3 linked regions of the Arabidopsis thaliana genome follow. The protein of the gene in region 3 interacts with the protein of the main gene of each other region in a biochemical or structural test. Each region holds a gene or a part of one and is shown on either strand. Other genes may lie near its edges.

Region 1 (7,021 bases), on a different chromosome or scaffold from region 3:
TTCCCAGATTTTACCATAAAAAACTGCACAAACGTTAGTGGGTATGTTACATTACCACTTTTTAATCTGTAAAGAAATAGCGATAATTTAACTTTTTCTCTACAACAATACTATATATTTTTCTTGTTAATTATAATTATAATTATAATATCATTTTTGTATGCAATCGTCGGTTCGTCACTCACAGTCACATATGCTAAATCTCAAATATATACTTTCTTTATTCCAAAAAATTAAGGATGGTAGTGGAGGTTGGAAAAAAAGTCAACATATGTAGGTTGTGTAATTTTTTTTAAGGATATACCAAACTTCCGACCATATTTATGAAGAAAGCACGGGACACATGATTTTTTTCGGCATCTGTTCATGCATTATAAATAGATTATCATGAGTTTACTATTCCATGTTCGTTCTGTTGGAAGTTCATTTCAAGTTTTTTTTTTTTTGTCACAATAGTCTCATTTCAAGTTTTTGTTACTAGTTAATTGAGCTATTAAGTTTTATACTTAAAGTATCATACACTACTTAGCCTTGAGATTTTTCATAAATCAAAACGAAACAGAAGCTTAAAGATTTTAAATGAAATGAGGTGGTCACATACATATATGTGTCAAAGATCTAGAAGTTCTAGATTGGATATAAATGAAGAATGACGACATTAACCGCCCCTACTTTTCATCTAAATGGAACATGACATACAATAGAGTTTATCTGAAAGGATCGATAAGATGTCGCTATATTTACTAAAATTATCTATAATATGATGAGCCCACTATGTTTTTCTTGACAATTGGGAACTTATAATATAATTCTTGGATATCAACGTATAAATGATCATTTACATAATCTAGTGCTTGTGTTAGTGTCGTGTGTAATATCCAAGTTCAAGCATGTATCATATGTTGTACAAAATAGTTTCAGCCTAAAATGATATTTGTGGACCTGTGTTGTCTACCGACACATTTGTTTGGACAGTGGAAACAACAATTCTATACTATGTTAAAGCATAATCAAGAAGAATAAAATAAAAATTGGTTGAGATGTCGCAAGGAGAATGACTTTTAGATTTGTTTATATTGATTCACTTAAAACAAATACAACATAAAATTCAAATTTACACATATTAACATAAATTGAGTTGTATGTTGTGCTAAGATTACTTAGTGATATTTTAAAGCCCATGCAAAAATAACTTATCTTCTAAAGAAACGGCCTTTTTCTTATTTTTTGTAAACTTTGACAAGCTTAGATCATATGATTGAATTGCATTAATGGACGTTATTTTAATTATCTTGAAAGATCTAACGTCATTTTCATGTTAACTAAATACAAAACATCTTAGCATTCATAGCTGAATAAGAGGCATAGTTACTATTCAACACTTTTAGCTTTAACTACAACCTTCAAAACACACAATTTTGTCGTTTTGTTTGATTTAGGCTTCGTAATCTTGTAAACAGAATTCACCTACTTCAGTATTTCTTCTTTTACACTACGATTTCATGATTCCACAAAGTAAAACATCAACATCATTCTTGATTTGGAAGTAAAATTGTGAATCGTGTATCTAATGGGCCTGGTCAAATAGGCCCAAACATGGATCCGCAAATAAGGAATTTTTCTCCTTACAAAAGACACTCTTTCTGAGTAAGAAGGTTTCGTGGGGCCTGTCGTGACCTCTGAAAGTTCCCTCCATCACCAATCATTCGGCACAAAACTAATATTTATATTTTGTTTCCTTTATTTATTTTATTTAATAAAATATTTATCGATCCCAATTTTCTAAATCTTGCTTCTTCTCTCGTTCCTATATCCGTTTTCCGATTTAGGGCACCAAATTGAATCAAAATCTCCGCTTCTTCCCAATTTACGAAACTTCACGAAAAATCTTCTTCGGATTCTTCTTAACCCTTTCTCTCAATTTTTCTTCCAGAGTTTTCTAATTGGGCACTGTTTCTCTTCTTCTTCTTCTTCTTCCTCCGTACGCATCCTTCTCCTTTTTACTGTTGAGTGTGAACAGATTTAAACAACGTCATTTCTAGGGTTTTCGGAGTTCAATTTTGTTATCTTACTATTGAATTTGCATCGCGATAGCTGAATTTAGGATCCTGTGTTGTTGCTCAGTCGTATTATTACAACTGTTGAATTACGCTTGCGTTTGATTGTTTTTTTCTTTATTGGATCCTCGTGAGGTTTTTTTTTCTTGTTCTGAATCGTTTCCTGGACTTCTGATTTCCTGCTAGAAGTTTATTTCATGGTTGCTGATTCATTATCTTCTTGTTTCTAGATGAAAGTTTACTGTGTATAAACCTTCAAAGGATGAGAATTTCAATCTTACTTTGAACAATATGTAGTTTATACAGTAGCTTCGTCTGTTGTTGCACCATGGTTGATAAGATTTATGTCTCCTTTGTTTGGTTTATTGAATTCTTCCTTTTTTCCAGGCTATTCATTTCTGAGTAATCGTTTATTCCATCTCAGATTGTAGGCGGTTTCGCGTCTTGTCACCGAATGATACATTGTCTCACGTGAGATTGTCAGTCAGTTAGTGCAATGTCAAACCTTCATGTACCTTCCTATTCACCTTGAGAATATTTTTAGTGTGCTTAGGATAACGTTTGCTTAATTATGCGTACCATTTCTCATCCATCAACTCTTGTGCTCTTTCCTTTGTAGTCATCTCTCAATGGTTCAGCTTCGAATTTACCAGATGGTTCGGGCAGATCGTTTACTGCTTCTTATTCTGGACAATCTGGTGCACCGTCTCCCTCTTTTCATCATACTGGTGGGTGTTATTCTTATCTTGACCTTCTTCTATATTTTGCGTCGTTCTGAACTTATATAACTTCTACATATTCTTCATGCAGGAAATCTTCAGGGACTTCATAATATTCATGGGAACTATAATGTCGGGAACATGCAAGGTACACTTACATCAAGAAACTCAAGTATGAATAGTATACCATCTGCCGGAGTTCAACAACCTAATGGGAGTTTTTCCAGTGGAAGATTTGCTTCAAATAATCTACCTGTTAATCTCTCTCAGGTGCATGTTGTTTAAAATTTTGTGAAAAAACGGCTCTTGTTCTTAATCTGTGTCTTATATTATACGATGATTGCTTTGTAGTTGTCCCATGGTAGCTCACATGGGCATTCGGGAATCCCAAATAGAGGTCTTAATGTTGTTGGCAACCCTGGATTCAGTAGTAACGCTAATGGAGTTGGTGGTTCTATTCCTGGAATTCTCTCTACATCTGCAGGACTCAGTAATCGGAATAGTGTTCCAGGGATGGGAATATCCCAATTGTTGGGAAATTCAGGTCCTCGAATAACAAATTCAATGGGAAACATGGTTGGTGGAGGTAACTTGGGGAGGAATATTAGCTCTGGTGGATTGTCTATTCCTGGTCTGTCTTCACGACTAAATTTGGCAGCAAATAGCGGATCAGGATTAAATGTTCAGGGACAGAACCGAATGATGGGTGGAGTACTTCCTCAAGGTATATATGATTTATCGAGTCCTTTCCATTTGCTGTCTTCAAGGTTTTTTTTGCCTTTCATTTGATACAACTGAGCCGAGCCTTGTTTAACTTCTTGTTATAGCATTGTAAATAAAATAGAATATATTGCTTCATGGAGTACACCTTTTTACTGGTCTAGTAGCTAGGAGGTCCTGTGGAAAATAAGTTAGAATAATTAGTCATTTAGGGGGTAGGATTGATATCAGCAGTTGAACTTGTTTTGCTTTTGTAGTCTATACTTCTCTAGACTCACGTGAGTACGTTAGAATGTAGAGAAAGCAGTACTCTGGGATTGTTTGGACTTTGTAAGACGAGCTTGTTTACTTTACACAAAATCTTATTTAATTAAACATGCAATTAGTTAGCAGCTGCTGTATGTGGAAATAGCAGTAAAAATTTAATTGTAAAATTGTATGGTACAGGATCTCAGGTCATGTCTATGCTGGGGAACTCCTATCATACTGGTGGTGGCCCGCTTTCGCAGAATCATGTTCAGTCAGTTAACAATATGATGCTCAGTGATCATCCTAACGACAGCTCTCTATTTGACATCAACAACGATTTTCCCCAGCTGACAAGTCGTCCTGGGTCTGCTGGTGGCACTCAAGGACATCTAGGTAGTCGGTTTATCTGAAGATCTTTTGAAATTCATATACTTAATATAACATAAGTTTTTGAAAAGATTTTCCAAATCATGTCTTGTTTCCTCATACTCTTGCGGTGGTGTTTTTAGGCTCTTTGAGGAAACAAGGTTTAGGAGTTCCACTTGTCCAACAAAACCAGGAGTTCAGCATCCAAAATGAAGACTTTCCTGCCCTTCCTGGATATAAAGGTGCTGGTCTTTTATTGTCGATAACTTTGTATTGTATTGTGCATAAAGTTGGGTCTTGCAGACTTTATGTGCACGTAGTGAGGAATATCGTCTCTAGTTTCCCCTATCTTGAAAAGTTTTCCTCTATGCTATTCTCCAAAATCTCATGAAAGTCCGTTTCCAAGTTCATAAACTTCTTAGCTTCCTTCATATTATAGCTTATTGCATGAGAAAGATGATAAGATGTGCTTCTTAATGATGTAAGCTAAACCTGCTGGATCATTCACAAGCGTAGTAGATTTGTTGCAGGTGGTAATTCTGAGTATCCTATGGATTTGCATCAAAAAGAACAACTGCATGACAATGCTATGTCAATGATGCACTCTCAAAACTTTTCTGTAAGCTTTAGACTGTTTCGAAGTTAACAAAGTGTTGTCCTGCCTTTTTCTGTTGATATGGTTGTTGATGTGAATTAATGTTTGGATATTGCAAATTTGCAGATGGGTAGATCTGGTGGTTTCAACTTGGGAGCAACATATTCATCACATCGTCCACAACAACAGCCACAACATACTTCATCTGTGAGTGGCAGTCTCTCCTATCCCTATATGTATACAAGCCGGAACTTTCTTCAATTTGCATATCTCATATTATTATGGTACTGCATCATGTGGTTGGGCCACACTTGCTCCAACTACCGTATCTTATCATTTAATTCTTATTTAATACCAGACTGGTGGGCTACAGGGTCTTGGCCTTAGACCTCTAAGCTCGCCTAATGCAGTTTCCAGTATTGGTTATGATCAGCTTATTCAGCAGTATCAGCAACATCAAAATCAATCCCAGTTCCCTGTGCAACAGATGTCATCAATCAACCAATTTAGAGATTCTGAGATGAAATCGACACAGTCAGAGGCAGATCCTTTTTGCTTGCTTGGCTTGTTAGACGTACTAAACAGGAGCAACCCTGAATTGACCTCACTTGCTCTTGGCATCGACTTGACGACGCTAGGATTGGATTTGAATTCAACTGGAAATCTCTACAAGACATTTGCGTCTCCTTGGACAAATGAACCGGCAAAGAGCGAGGTCGAGTTCACAGTACCAAATTGTTACTACGCCACAGAACCTCCGCCTCTAACTGTAAGTTCCCTCTGTTGTTGCGAGTAGTACCAACAAAGTATTTTCTCGATTTTGTTAACAAATGTGTCATTATTTCCGTTTGTTGCAGCGAGCTAGTTTCAAAAGGTTCTCCTACGAGTTATTGTTCTACACATTTTACAGGTCTGTTATTAGATCAGCATTCAGCGTCACATTTGCCCAACTCCTAAATTAACCTTGGGCTTTTAAACTTATTACTTTGCTCTAATTATTGTTCCAGTATGCCAAAAGATGAAGCACAGCTGTACGCAGCAGATGAACTGTATGTTTTTTCTCTACTGTAATCTTTGATCTATTCGTTTACTCCGCTCTCTTTGGCTGAGACTTTTGAGTTCGATTGACATGTTGCAGTTACGAAAGAGGTTGGTTTTACCACAAGGAACTCAGAGTATGGTTCTTCAGAGTCGGGGAACCTTTAGTCAGGGCAGCTACATATGAAAGAGGAACATACGAATACCTTGATCCAAATTCGTTCAAAACAGTGAGAAAGGTAAGCCGACGATTATTGCAGGAATATCTATTTCCTTGTTCTCGAATTTGCAGTGTTATGAGTGAATTTTGCTGGTGATGGTTATCGCAGGAACATTTTGTTATCAAGTACGAGCTTATGGAAAAGAGACCAAGCTTGCTGCAGCTTTGACGACAAGTAGGTTTGTTCAATTAGTAGCATCTTTACAATGTAAAGCTTTTCTCTTCATTTCTCTTTCTTTCTTTCTTTCATGCAAGTTCTATTGATTAGAAACCAAAACCATGACATATCACATTTTCAATTTTTAACCCCAAGTTTCCCAAAAAGGTAATCACAATTACTTTCCATGGTCATTTCTTCTGGTTCAAGCATGACATGAACAGGCAATAAATAAGTTGAGATTTTGATCACAGTAACTGATACTTGAATCGAATCATTTAGATTTTTTTTTTTTTTAGTTTACTTGTTTAGTAAATATGTTGTCTATGTTTGTCACAAAAACGTGGCTCAGTTCTTGTATATATGGAGACAAAAAAATCCATTAAAAGATTGTTGACATTCTCGGAAATTTAGTGCCAACTGTTATTGCGAGAACTTACTATAGTTTTCCTTTGGCGAAAAGCTAATAATCTTAAATCTTGATTTTGTCCTCTTTTCTCTGAGTTAGATTTTCTTAAATTCCACTTCCGACCTATTAAGAAATGGGCTTTTGCAAAGAAGATCCGCTTCACTGAGCCCGTATCTCGAAGAGGATAATACAACAACAAAGCAAAACGGCACGTAGTTTTAATTGTAACCAAGGATTGCATTTCGGTCTTGTTTCAACAAACGAAACTTCCTGAAATGCCAAGAAAAATCTGGTCATTTCACCACAGTGATCATTGTGTATGTGTTCTAAAGACTCCAAGCGAAGGTTTTAGAAAAAGGAGCATTTTCTATTCTATTCAAGAAACTCGAAGAACATTCTCTCTTCATCCTCTAACTTCCCTATAAATATGTCCTTTGCTAATCAGATCAAATCAGCAGGAAAATCAAGAACCAAAAGTCTCCCGAAAAGCA
Region 2 (6,952 bases), 2.4 Mb from region 3:
ACGCAACTTTTATTTCGAAAGTTCGATCCTTTGGGTCCATAGTATTGACGGGTGAGTAGATTACAATTCTGATTGCTTTAGGGTTTTTGCCGATTTGGGGATGGTTGATCTTTCAGTTGAATCCTTAATCTGATTTGCTGACATTAGAAGGTTCATTCCATGTTTTGTCTTAATCCCCATCTAGTTGCCGAAAGGGTTTAGATTTTGGGGTCATTGCTTGAAATTTATGCTTCAGATGCGTTGATCTTGTACCGTTTAGAACTCTGTGTTGTACTCGGATTCAAAGTTGTTCCCTTTACATGTCATATCTCTGTTTTGGTTATTTTCATGCCTCACCATTGAATTCTTCGTTTCAGGCCACTCAACCAACTACGAGTGCTATCTTTCACCCCTGAGTTCACTGAAAGTGTTCCTGCTTGGTTTGCTGATGAGCTATTGCTTGTGGAGTTAGTTTAAATATCTGCAAATGTCAAGTCTTCTTAATGTACTGCCACATATCCTTTATATCACTATTACCTATGTAACTTCTAGGATTATTTCAATGCAAAGATGACCCCCCTGCTTTGGTTCTGCTTCAAAATTTTGATTTTTGATTCTAATTTGCAGATATCTCACTGTAGCTATCATGGATACTCAGGACTCACTAGTAGGGGAGGCATAAACACTGTTGAAAACCATAGATGGGTCTGGCACAACAACGGAGTCAGGTTGTCGTTTCCAAGAGCCGAGTCTTCTATAAACATCACTATGGGTTGTACGCTTCAGCGTGGGATAGCAAAAAGCTTAAGTCAGGAAAACCTAGTGGAGTTATCTGATGAAAATGATGATCTATGTCCTGTGGAGTGTGTCACTGAGTTCAAGACAGATGATGAATTGCTTAGCGTTCTTGAAAAGTCGAAAGAAACTAATTCTTTGGTTGTGGTTGATTTTTATCGCACTGCATGTGGGAGTTGTAAATACATAGAGCAGGGCTTCTCAAAACTGTGCAAGCAATCTGGTGACCAAGAAGCTCCTGTTATCTTCCTTAAGCATAATGTGAGTTTCTGATCTCTCATCTTTGATGTATAAACAATAAAGAAGTAGAGAAAAAATCCATTAATAGCTCTAATGCTGCTATTTGCAGGTGGTAGATGAATATGATGAACAATCTGAAGTCGCAGAAAGGCTCCGTATCAAGGTAATCCCTCTTTAGAATTTTGGTACTAACAACACTCAAAAATTAACTGAACAGCGTAGTAAAGAGTTTGATATACTACAATCTTACAGGCGGTTCCTCTCTTCCACTTCTACAAAAACGGAGTTCTCTTAGAATCATTTGCAACTAGAGACAAGGAGAGGATCGACGCAGCTATTCTCAAATATACATCCTCGGAATCTTGAAGAACATTCGACAAAACCGCACTCTTTGGGTTACCTTTCCCAAATCATTGAATATGATGTAACTTATATTGAACAACACAGCATCATCCTTCTTCTTGTAAGATGTCATACTGAATAAGACAGATGCAACATTTTGATCTCTTTCTTTTGTTTGTTTGCCTTTATGTCTTCATAACCCACATACTTATAGTATATATGTGCAAAATCTGCAGTGACAGCTTACTAGTTTTGGTTACTTGATAAGTATTTTTGGTCCCCGCAAGATCTTTAAACCAGATTGCAACTTGTCTCATATGGTATGATGATCAATTAAGAAACTATCTCATTCGGATATAGTCAACCTAATTTTATTAGTCACTATAATTATTGATAATTTACCTTAATAACATGGTTAATTACTAGTAAACCCTGAAAGTAAATAAAATTACTATGTAGAGAAAAAAAAGGTCCCTTTAATTTGTTCGCCTCCGAGGACGGGGTCCTAAACACATAAGACTAAAAACGGTCAGTAGTACAAAAAGATCAGATTTTTTTATTCCGATTTCTTCTCCATCTTCGAGAATTTCGTTCCTTGGAGCTTCGAGATTGAGTTTCTTTGTTCATCCTTTGGGTCCATATTCTTATCAGGTTCTAATTTCGTTTGACTGCTGATTATAAATCTGAGTGCTTTAGGGTTTTTGTTTATTTTCCGATTTCGCAATGGTTAAACTTTCTCTTGAACCCTTGATCGGTTGTTGAAAGGGTTTTGATTGTTTGTAATGTATGATTCAGATACGTTGAAGTTTTACTGTTTATAGTTCTGTGATGAATCCAAAGTTTGTTCCTTTCCATGTATTTACTGTCTCACCATATAATCCTTCTTTTCAGGTCACGACTGCAATCTCACATTCCTGAGCTCACTGAAGGGTTCCTGCTTGGTTTGCTTATGAACTTTTGCTTCTGGAGTTGATTAATCTCTGCAAATGTCAAGTTTACTTAATGTACTTCTTCCACATATCTTTATATCAGTGTGTTGCAGTATTGTCAATGTAGCTTCTAGGATAAATAATGTTTATCAGTCGTTCTGACTTGTGGTTATTTCAATGATATCCTCAGTCCTCAATAAACGGGTCTACCTCGAATTTGTCAGACGGTTCAGGGAGGACGTTTACTTCTTCTTTCTCCGGTCAGTCTGGGGCAGCGTCTCCAGTTTTTCATCATGCTGGTGGGTAGACGTCTCCGGCGCTATTTCTTTCGTAATTCTTCTGAACTTATATTGGTTTTTTTCTTTTTATAGGATCTATTCAGGGCCTTCATAATATTCATGGAAACTTTAATGTTCCCAACTTGGCGGGAAGTCTTGGATCGAGAAATTCAAGTCTAAATGGTGTTCCATCTGCTGGTGTCCAACAACAAAATGGAAGTATTTCGAATGGAAGATTTGCATCCAGCAATATTCCGGTTGCACTCTCTCAGGTGCAGTTATGCTTATGTGTTGGTATCCTAAAAATAATGCAAATATGAACCCTTGCTTTGGCTCTGCTTAAAAGTTTTCTTTTGGATTCTTATTTGCAGATGTCTCATGGTAGCTCCCATGGACACTCAGGACTCACTAATAGGGGAGGTATAAATACTGTTGGAAAACCTTAATTCAGTAGTTACACTAATAGGGTGGTTCCATTCCTGAACTCTTCCTACCTCTACCACCATTGGTAATTGGTTTACTGTTCCAGGATTGGGAGTTTCTCCAATATTGGGAAATGTAGGTTCTCGAATGACGAGTTCTATGGGGAATATGGTTGGTGGAGGCACAATGGGTAGGACTTTGAGCTCTGGTGGAGGATTGTCGATTCCGAGTCTTGGTTCGCGGCTAAATTTGGCAGTAAATAGCGGATCCGGAAATATTGGACAAAATCGCATGATGGGTGGGGTCTTGCCACAAGGTACTTCATGATTTATATCCTTTTCTGCTCTTTGTTGAAATAGGTTATGCATTTGTATGGTTTTAGTTGATTTACAATTCCGTTAGTATTGATGTTAAATCCTTTATCATTAAATGAACAACACCGGATTTCTACTAGTATTTAGAAATCATTAATCGAATAACTCATGATTTTGTTTGAATTTCCTAATCAGTCGAACTCCAGTAACCAAATGGCCTCATGTTTTCCCCAAATTTCTCGTTTCGTCACATCGTTTATGATATCTTTACACTCTTATATTCTTTCCTTTCTCTTCAGGATCTCCGCAGGTTCTTTCGATGCTGGGAAATTCTTACCCTTCAGCTGGAGGACTTTCCCAAAATCATGTTCAAGCAATGAACAGTCTAAGCTCTATGGGTTTGCTGAATGATATGAACTCCAACGACACTTCTCCGTTTGATATTAATAATGATTTTCCTCAGCTCACAAGCCGCCCCAGCTCTGCGGGCAGTCAAGGACAATTGGGTAAGTAAGAAAAACCCTTTAATTCTATCTTCTTTCTTTTATTGGTTTGAAGCAAAACTATACTCCGCTGTTTTCTGAAACTTCTTAGGGTCTCGATTGAAACAAGGCCTTGGAATCAGCCCTATAGTTCAGCAAAACCAAGAGTTCAGCATCCAAAATGAAGATTTTCCAGCATTGCCAGGATACAAAGGTCACCCTTCTGATCTGCAACTTTTTTAAAATGGTCCAACTGGATAGAAATTGTCTCAATTTGGGTCATATTTGTGTGCATTATGGAATTTGACATTCATACCCCAAAAGGAACCATCTACCTTCCACATTCGCATAATATTTGGTGTTGAGAGATTTGAGAGTGATTTTGTAATCACACCCAGCTGAATTACTAATGATCTGCATGATCCAATGTGACATTACTCTCTTAATATCTCATCATAATACTAGTACAGAGTCTGTCTATTAAATTTTCCAACACGTTCATGGTGTCTGCATTCAAATTATTTGTTGTTCGTATAAATAGATTTTAGATTAAGGTATAGTCATCAGTCATGACAAGATTGATCGGTTTTATACAGGTAGTAGTGCTGATTATCCAATGGATTTGCATCATAAAGAACAACTCCATGAGAACTCAGTTTTAATGATGCAATCTCAACAATTATCTGTGAGTAGCTTGTCAAAAAATGTCATTGGGTTTAATTCTCTTCCATTGAAAGTTTTCCTCAAAACATTTACCTTATCCTCTAGTGCGGCTCCTTGCAGATGGGAAGGTCTGGTGGGTTTAACTTAGGTGGAGCATATACATCACACCGTCCTCAACAACAGCAACAACATGCTCAAGCTGTGAGTAGTAGTGGTGTTTCCTTACATGGGTCTGACATCTTCTCATCTTCGCATCCGCCTTACCACTCACAGGTATGATGTAGTCTGTAATATTTTAAAACAGGCGGAGATCATTTAAGGTTTTATTTCATGAAACCAACGTTCTTGTTCTTTCTAAGGTATATTTGATTGGTTTCAGACTGGTGGAGCTCCGGGTATTGGATTAAGATCTATGAATTCTGCAAATTCTATCACTGGGATGGGTTATGACCAGCAGCTCATCCAGCAATATCAGCACCAACAGAACTCAGCCCAGTATCGCTTGCAGCAGATGTCAGCTGCTAGCCAACCTTTCAGAGATGTAGGATTAAAATCAATGCAATCGACACAGTCAAATCCTGATCGGTTTGGCTTACTCGGTTTGCTCAGTGTGATAAAGATGAGCGACCCTGACTTGACTTCTTTGGCACTTGGTATTGATCTGACAACACTGGGGTTAAATTTGAACTCAACAGAAAATCTTCATAAGACTTTTGGCTCGCCTTGGTCCAATGAACCCTCTAAAGTTGATCCAGAATTCAGTGTACCGCAGTGTTACTACGCAAAAAACCCTCCACCTCTACATGTAATTTACTCTAGTCTCTCATCAGTACCATCATTCATTTGTCCATCTGGGTTTGTGTTTTCTTTTCATTAGCTGTTTTTAACTTTTAATTTTTTTTTGGTGGATGCAGCAAGGGCTCTTTGCAAAATTATTGGTAGAAACATTGTTTTACGTATTCTATAGGTATATGTCTTTGGAATTGAAAGTACTTGTTGATTCACTCTCTTGTCAAAGGAACCATAACAATTTTTGTCGTGCAGCATGCCGAAAGATGAGGCGCAACTCTATGCGGCTAATGAACTGTAAGTCCTTTTCATCATAATATATTTTTGTTTCTCTAGTATTGTAAATATGAAAATGCTTCTTCGGAGTTTTTTGTTCACAGTTGTCATATATTAAACTTGGAATATAGATTGAAGATGAATTTGTCTTCACATTTGAAAAAGAAAGGGAATATGAAAGCAAAACATCAACTTTTGATTCCATCTTTCTTCTCCATGACTTGAAAATGGGTTTCTGTCTTAATTTCCTGGTTTGGTATCAGATTGCAATGCACTGAAGGATAAAGCTGCATAACTCTTATTGTTTTGCAGTTACAATAGGGGTTGGTTCTACCACAAAGAACACAGGTTGTGGTTCATTAGAATCGGGGAACCTCTCGTGAAAACAAATGCGTATGAAAGAGGATCATATCACTGTTTTGATCCAAACTCATTTGAGATCGTTCAAAAGGTGAGTACATCCAAATTCTGCTCATCGTATCTTTCTTCATTTGGCCTCTGAAGAATACCCCAAAATCATTTCTTTGCAGGAAAATTTTGTTCTCTATTACGAGATGCTGGAAAAAAGACCATCCATTTCTCAAGATTCTCAACATTGAGTGTAAACTATGCCTTCTTCAGTATTTATAATGTAACTTTCCTACCAAAGTATCCATTGGTTAGGAAATTCATAGAACAGGAACCAGTATCCAACATGTATTTTTCTCGGAATTTAGCTTTTTGGTTTATTTAACTCCTGGTAACTTTTGTTGTTGATCATATATAGCTGAAATTCTTCATGCTATAGGTTAAACCAATGCACATTTCTTCCCCCATTTAGAATCGGTGTTACATTAATGTTACTCTCTTCCTTTCTGCTCTAATCCTTATTCGATTTCTCCTGTTCGAAGCATCTCAGGTAACTCCTCCATACCAGTGCTTCACCCGCATCAACTCATTGAATCAACCGTATCAGAAAAAGGTACATCAAGTTCTTGCCGTGTACATAAATGTGAAAACGGATTGAGTATCGTCAAGTCAGATTGCATACATTTTCTTACACTCGTTCTGGAGAATATCAGAATCCGTAAGCTGGGGAATCCCCCAGGATCCAGATATACTGTTGATGGAGGATCTTCTAATGTTTCTTAAATTGGCAGCTTCGATCTTGTGCTGTATTATCCAGTAGCACATCGTCCCTAACGTCGTAATCATTATAGTTGCCCCGATAGCAGTCACCCAAATGGCTAGCCACTTCTCTTCTTCACCAACAACAACAAACGACAAAGCCAAAAAGGCAACAGAGATGAGAACACAGGCAAGCCACATGAGTTTGTTTATCACAGCCATCATCTGTTTCTTGGCCTTGCTCTCTATTACCACCACTGATGTCTGAACCACCACGACCGCTAAGGAGATGAAGAGTGCGATCGAATCAAAGATGAAGAAAATTATGAACGGAG
Region 3 (4,981 bases):
ATATAGGGCTTTGCTTAAGATTTGAATGGGCCGTACCCCCATTTTGCTTCATGAGAATGGGATGGTAATAAAGAAAAAAATGACAGGAAACAATGAATTGGTCACGAAAAAATGTTGTATTACTTTTTCCAAAATGCACCTTTGAGAATCTTAAGATTCAATCATACAGTGAGGTCCATGTCCACAATAAGAAATCAAATACCAAACAAAGTATAAACGTGAATTGTAAGCTAGGCAGTGTATGAAGATGCATTTGTCTTAAAGTTACGAATCTGATAAATAATATTATTCGATCGACTTTAGATCGCTTTCCATGCAGATTTATGCAATTATCTGGAAGAAGAACAAAACAATATCTTAGTTTCTTCGGCCTCACTATTCGACTTCTATCTTCAATATATTTTCGCGTATTTTTTTATTTGAATTATTTGGTTTTTGGTTAGTTAACTAAACGAGCAACAGAACCAAGATCGAATTGCGTTTGCCGTTTGGATTCAATTATTGTAGAAAATTCGACTTTTCAGACATTTGTTACGTTCTTTCTAGTAGTTATATTAGTTATTATATGTGGAGTGGAAAGAGATGAAAGTAGATGTAAAACATAAGTGATTTCTTCATAGTGATTTTAAAACTTTTTGTTGATTTTCAAAATTATATAATATCCATAAAAAATAGCCTATGCGTGTTGGATGCTTACAAAGAAGAATTTGTTTTCGGCGTTAGCCAAAAGTCGATGGCATTTGCTAAAGGTGTTATTTGAGTGGAAATGATCTAGAACAAAAACGCATTGATATACCACCACTATAATGATTTGGAGACGTATCTAGTTCTCATCAACTTTTCAATAGTAAACGCATTATCAAGGTAAACGAAGAGTTTTGCTTTATCAGTGTACCATACACACATTAATAGATTGATGGACGTTAGTGACTTTGGTATTGACTTTAACGCCAAATGGACATCAATTCTGCAAGGCAATGCCTAGTTTCAAAGCAGCGTTACTTAACATTTAACTAAAGGTAGTGCAAACTGGTTAATACTTTTTAACGGCTTTGCAGGAAGAGTCTCGACTAAAAGGAGAGGAAGAGATGAGATCGACGAAGATTTTCATATCATAAAAAGTAATATAGGTTTTTGAAAATAGTTAGAATAATTATTTTTATTTTTATTTTTATGGGAAAGAAGTTGCACGAGTCGGTCCACAGAATGACAGAACAAAAGCATTTTAGAAGTTTAGAACCAACCAATCACTATAGTTTTCCACTTGTCCGTATCTCATTGGTTCATCGAATATTAACTTACATGGAAACAGTAAAAAGCGTGGAATAAGTCGTAAAACTGAAATCTAAAAATGAAAAGATTTCGATTTCGATATAAATACTTAATCTTTATAAAATAATATCGAAATCTTTTCATTTTTAGTTTTCAGTTTTACACTTTTACTTGATAAATTTAATACATCTGTTAATTTTTTTTCTTCTAAAATTAACATATGATATCTATTCGGGAGATAACCCTAAGAAAACTGATAAAATAAATAAGTTACTTTTTACAAAGTCGAATAAATTATTTACCCTTCTGCTTTAATGGCAATTATCTTAATATTGCAAAAAAAAAAAGAGAGAAATATTACTACAAAACAGAAGCAAGCAAGTGGAAAACAGACCAGAAGAGAGAGGAAGACGAAGAGAGAAACAGAACAGAGTAGGGATCGATAGACCGTGGAATCTCAGAATCACAAACACTTTGCAAAAGGGTTTTCAATTCCTATTTATTTACAAAGAAATCATCAATAGTAGTGGTCTCTAGGGTTTTGCTTGCTCTTCTTCGTGACCCCTTTTTACCTGCAAACAACAACTTCAAAATTGGCGTGTTTCGTACGGTCTATCTAACCCTAATCTGTCACAAAACACTCTTCTTCTCTCACCCCTTTTTCTGGGTTTATTCAATTCTCGTGCTTTTGGTTCTGTTTTCTTCTCTGGGGATTTGGTTTTCTTGAGTGAGTTTTTCTCCTCTTTCTTATGTTCTTGATTTGATTATTATATAGAATTATGGTAATGGAGGATGAGCCTAGAGAAGCCACAATAAAGCCTTCTTATTGGCTAGATGCTTGCGAGGACATCTCTTGTGATCTTATCGATGATCTCGTGTCTGAATTTGATCCTTCCTCTGTTGCTGTCAATGAATCCACTGATGAAAACGGCGTCATCAATGATTTTTTCGGTGGGATTGATCACATTTTAGATAGTATCAAGAACGGTGGAGGCTTACCAAACAATGGCGTTTCTGATACCAATTCTCAAATCAACGAGGTTACTGTAACTCCTCAGGTTATTGCTAAGGAGACAGTGAAGGAGAATGGGTTGCAAAAGAATGGCGGTAAGAGAGACGAATTCTCGAAAGAGGAAGGAGACAAGGATAGGAAGAGAGCTAGGGTTTGTAGTTATCAGAGTGAAAGGAGTAACCTTTCAGGTAGAGGGCATGTTAATAATTCTAGGGAGGGAGATAGGTTTATGAATAGGAAACGTACTCGTAATTGGGACGAGGCGGGTAACAATAAGAAGAAAAGGGAATGTAACAATTACAGAAGAGATGGTAGAGATAGAGAAGTTAGGGGTTATTGGGAGAGGGATAAAGTTGGTTCCAATGAGTTGGTTTATAGGTCAGGGACTTGGGAAGCTGATCATGAAAGAGATGTTAAGAAAGTGAGTGGTGGAAACCGCGAATGCGATGTCAAGGCAGAGGAGAACAAGAGTAAGCCTGAAGAACGTAAAGAGAAGGTTGTGGAAGAGCAAGCAAGGCGATACCAGTTGGATGTTCTTGAACAAGCTAAAGCGAAAAACACGATTGCTTTCCTTGAGACCGGTGCTGGAAAGACACTTATCGCGATTCTTCTTATTAAAAGTGTTCATAAGGATCTGATGAGCCAGAACAGAAAAATGCTCTCGGTGTTCTTGGTTCCCAAAGTGCCTTTGGTTTATCAGGTACCGCCTAATAAGAAACATGTTTGTATTCTTTTTTAAAAAATTGGTTACCTATTGGTTTTGGTTGGTTGATTTATCTTACGTTATCAGCAAGCAGAAGTGATCCGTAATCAAACTTGTTTTCAAGTTGGACATTATTGTGGTGAGATGGGACAGGACTTTTGGGATTCTCGAAGGTGGCAACGAGAGTTTGAGTCTAAGCAGGTTGCTTTTTGATGCTTCTTTTTCATACCAGCTTTGATCTTTTATATGAATCAGTTCTTGAAGTTAACGAGTTTTTTTCTATTTTCTTCTACGCAGGTTCTAGTTATGACAGCACAAATTCTGTTGAATATACTGAGACACAGTATCATTAGAATGGAAACAATTGATCTTCTTATTCTCGACGAGTGTCACCACGCTGTCAAGAAACATCCATACTCTTTAGTGATGTCAGAGTTTTACCATACAACTCCTAAAGATAAAAGACCTGCCATCTTTGGAATGACTGCTTCGCCTGTTAATTTAAAGGGTACTGATTGTTTCTTGTATACAGTTCTCTAAGCTTGCCAATGTTCTTGAAAGTGACACTTTTTGTTTGTAAACGTAGGTGTTTCAAGCCAAGTAGATTGTGCGATAAAGATACGTAACCTCGAGACCAAGTTGGATTCTACGGTTTGTACTATAAAAGATCGAAAAGAATTAGAGAAACATGTGCCTATGCCTTCAGAGATAGTCGTCGAGTATGACAAAGCTGCTACTATGTGGTCTCTTCATGAGACAATAAAGCAAATGATTGCAGCTGTTGAAGAAGCGGCACAAGCAAGTTCAAGGAAAAGCAAGTGGCAATTTATGGGGGCTAGGGATGCTGGAGCAAAGGATGAATTGAGACAGGTTTATGGCGTCTCTGAAAGAACGGAGAGCGATGGTGCTGCCAATTTGATTCATAAACTTAGAGCTATCAATTATACTCTTGCTGAATTGGGTCAATGGTGTGCTTACAAGGTAAAAAAACAACTTAGTAAATAGTTTTCGATAATTTGAAATGGATATGTTATTTTCATATGATATAATTTTTGTGTCTTCTTTCAAGGTGGGACAATCATTCTTGTCTGCTTTGCAAAGTGATGAGAGGGTGAATTTCCAAGTCGACGTGAAGTTTCAAGAATCATACCTCAGTGAGGTGGTGTCACTCTTGCAATGTGAGCTTCTGGAAGGCGCTGCTGCTGAAAAAGTCGCGGCGGAAGTTGGCAAACCAGAAAATGGTAATGCACATGACGAGATGGAGGAGGGAGAGCTCCCTGATGATCCTGGTAAGTATTAATCACATTCTTTGTCTAATCGCTTTTTACCGGTTTTAGAAATCCAATATTAACAGAGCTCTATGGTTTTAGTGGTCTCGGGAGGGGAGCACGTTGATGAAGTAATAGGCGCCGCAGTGGCTGATGGGAAAGTTACTCCAAAAGTACAATCATTGATCAAACTACTCCTCAAATATCAGCACACAGCTGATTTTCGAGCTATTGTTTTCGTTGAGAGGGTGGTTGCTGCTTTGGTTCTTCCTAAGGTTAGGATTAAAGTGAAAAAAACAATTTATTTTCTTGTGTATAATTTTTCTGCCTATGTCTCTCTGAGCCTGGAAATTTTCAGGTTTTTGCGGAGCTGCCTTCGCTTAGTTTTATACGGTGTGCCAGCATGATTGGACACAATAACAGCCAGGAGATGAAATCATCTCAAATGCAGGATACAATTTCCAAATTCCGAGATGGGCATGTATGATTTTTTTTGTCTTTCATTAAGACATATTTTTTTTTTATCTTATACTGAAATGTCTTACTATTTCCTCTTTCTACTGTGATAGGTGACACTGTTAGTTGCCACAAGCGTTGCTGAGGAAGGACTTGATATTAGGCAATGTAACGTTGTTATGCGTTTCGACCTTGCAAAGACGGTGCTGGCATACATTCAGTCTCGTGGCCGGGCAAGAAAGCCTGGATCAGACTACATACTCATGGTTG

Evidence for each region. The genes of interacting proteins can lie anywhere in the genome.
Region 1: the proteins of DCL1 (region 3) and VIP2 form a complex in vitro, tested with the Arabidopsis thaliana proteins (one study listed by BioGRID).
Region 2: the proteins of DCL1 (region 3) and AT1G07705 form a complex in vitro, tested with the Arabidopsis thaliana proteins (one study listed by BioGRID).

Annotation. Positions count from the first base shown.
Region 1 is NC_003076.8:24,055,604-24,062,624, forward strand, and holds VIP2 (VIRE2 interacting protein 2), read left to right. Parts: upstream 1-1,774; 5' UTR 1,775-2,553; coding exon 2,554-2,568; intron 2,569-2,676; coding exon 2,677-2,785; intron 2,786-2,867; coding exon 2,868-3,046; intron 3,047-3,127; coding exon 3,128-3,500; intron 3,501-3,943; coding exon 3,944-4,138; intron 4,139-4,254; coding exon 4,255-4,353; intron 4,354-4,641; coding exon 4,642-4,730; intron 4,731-4,832; coding exon 4,833-4,913; intron 4,914-5,064; coding exon 5,065-5,475; intron 5,476-5,563; coding exon 5,564-5,616; intron 5,617-5,713; coding exon 5,714-5,755; coding exon of another isoform or gene 5,756-5,777; exon of another isoform or gene 5,778-5,819; intron 5,820-5,844; coding exon 5,845-5,983; intron 5,984-6,073; coding exon 6,074-6,133; 3' UTR 6,134-6,479; downstream 6,480-7,021. UniProt on the Arabidopsis thaliana protein: Transcriptional regulator required for Agrobacterium-mediated stable genetic transformation by T-DNA integration in host genome, but not for T-DNA transient expression.
Region 2 is NC_003070.9:2,379,748-2,386,699, forward strand, and holds AT1G07705 (NOT2 / NOT3 / NOT5 family), read left to right. Parts: upstream 1-1,807; 5' UTR 1,808-2,007; intron 2,008-2,247; 5' UTR 2,248-2,342; coding exon 2,343-2,360; intron 2,361-2,475; coding exon 2,476-2,584; intron 2,585-2,656; coding exon 2,657-2,835; intron 2,836-2,934; coding exon 2,935-2,983; intron 2,984-3,092; coding exon 3,093-3,302; intron 3,303-3,599; coding exon 3,600-3,806; intron 3,807-3,894; coding exon 3,895-3,996; intron 3,997-4,378; coding exon 4,379-4,467; intron 4,468-4,565; coding exon 4,566-4,718; intron 4,719-4,824; coding exon 4,825-5,250; intron 5,251-5,359; coding exon 5,360-5,412; intron 5,413-5,489; coding exon 5,490-5,531; coding exon of another isoform or gene 5,532-5,535; exon of another isoform or gene 5,536-5,822; coding exon 5,823-5,961; intron 5,962-6,040; coding exon 6,041-6,109; 3' UTR 6,110-6,410; downstream 6,411-6,952. Other genes in the region: AT1G07700 (Thioredoxin superfamily protein), read left to right, coding at 550-1,035, 1,124-1,177, 1,267-1,380; AT1G07710 (Ankyrin repeat family protein), read right to left, coding at 6,528-6,952.
Region 3 is NC_003070.9:21,468-26,448, forward strand, and holds the start of DCL1 (dicer-like 1), read left to right. Parts: upstream 1-1,948; 5' UTR 1,949-2,051; coding exon 2,052-2,984; intron 2,985-3,074; coding exon 3,075-3,188; intron 3,189-3,284; coding exon 3,285-3,495; intron 3,496-3,573; coding exon 3,574-3,968; intron 3,969-4,056; coding exon 4,057-4,276; intron 4,277-4,357; coding exon 4,358-4,530; intron 4,531-4,613; coding exon 4,614-4,736; intron 4,737-4,824; coding exon 4,825-4,981. UniProt on the Arabidopsis thaliana protein: Ribonuclease (RNase) III involved in RNA-mediated post-transcriptional gene silencing (PTGS). Functions in the microRNAs (miRNAs) biogenesis pathway by cleaving primary miRNAs (pri-miRNAs) and precursor miRNAs (pre-miRNAs).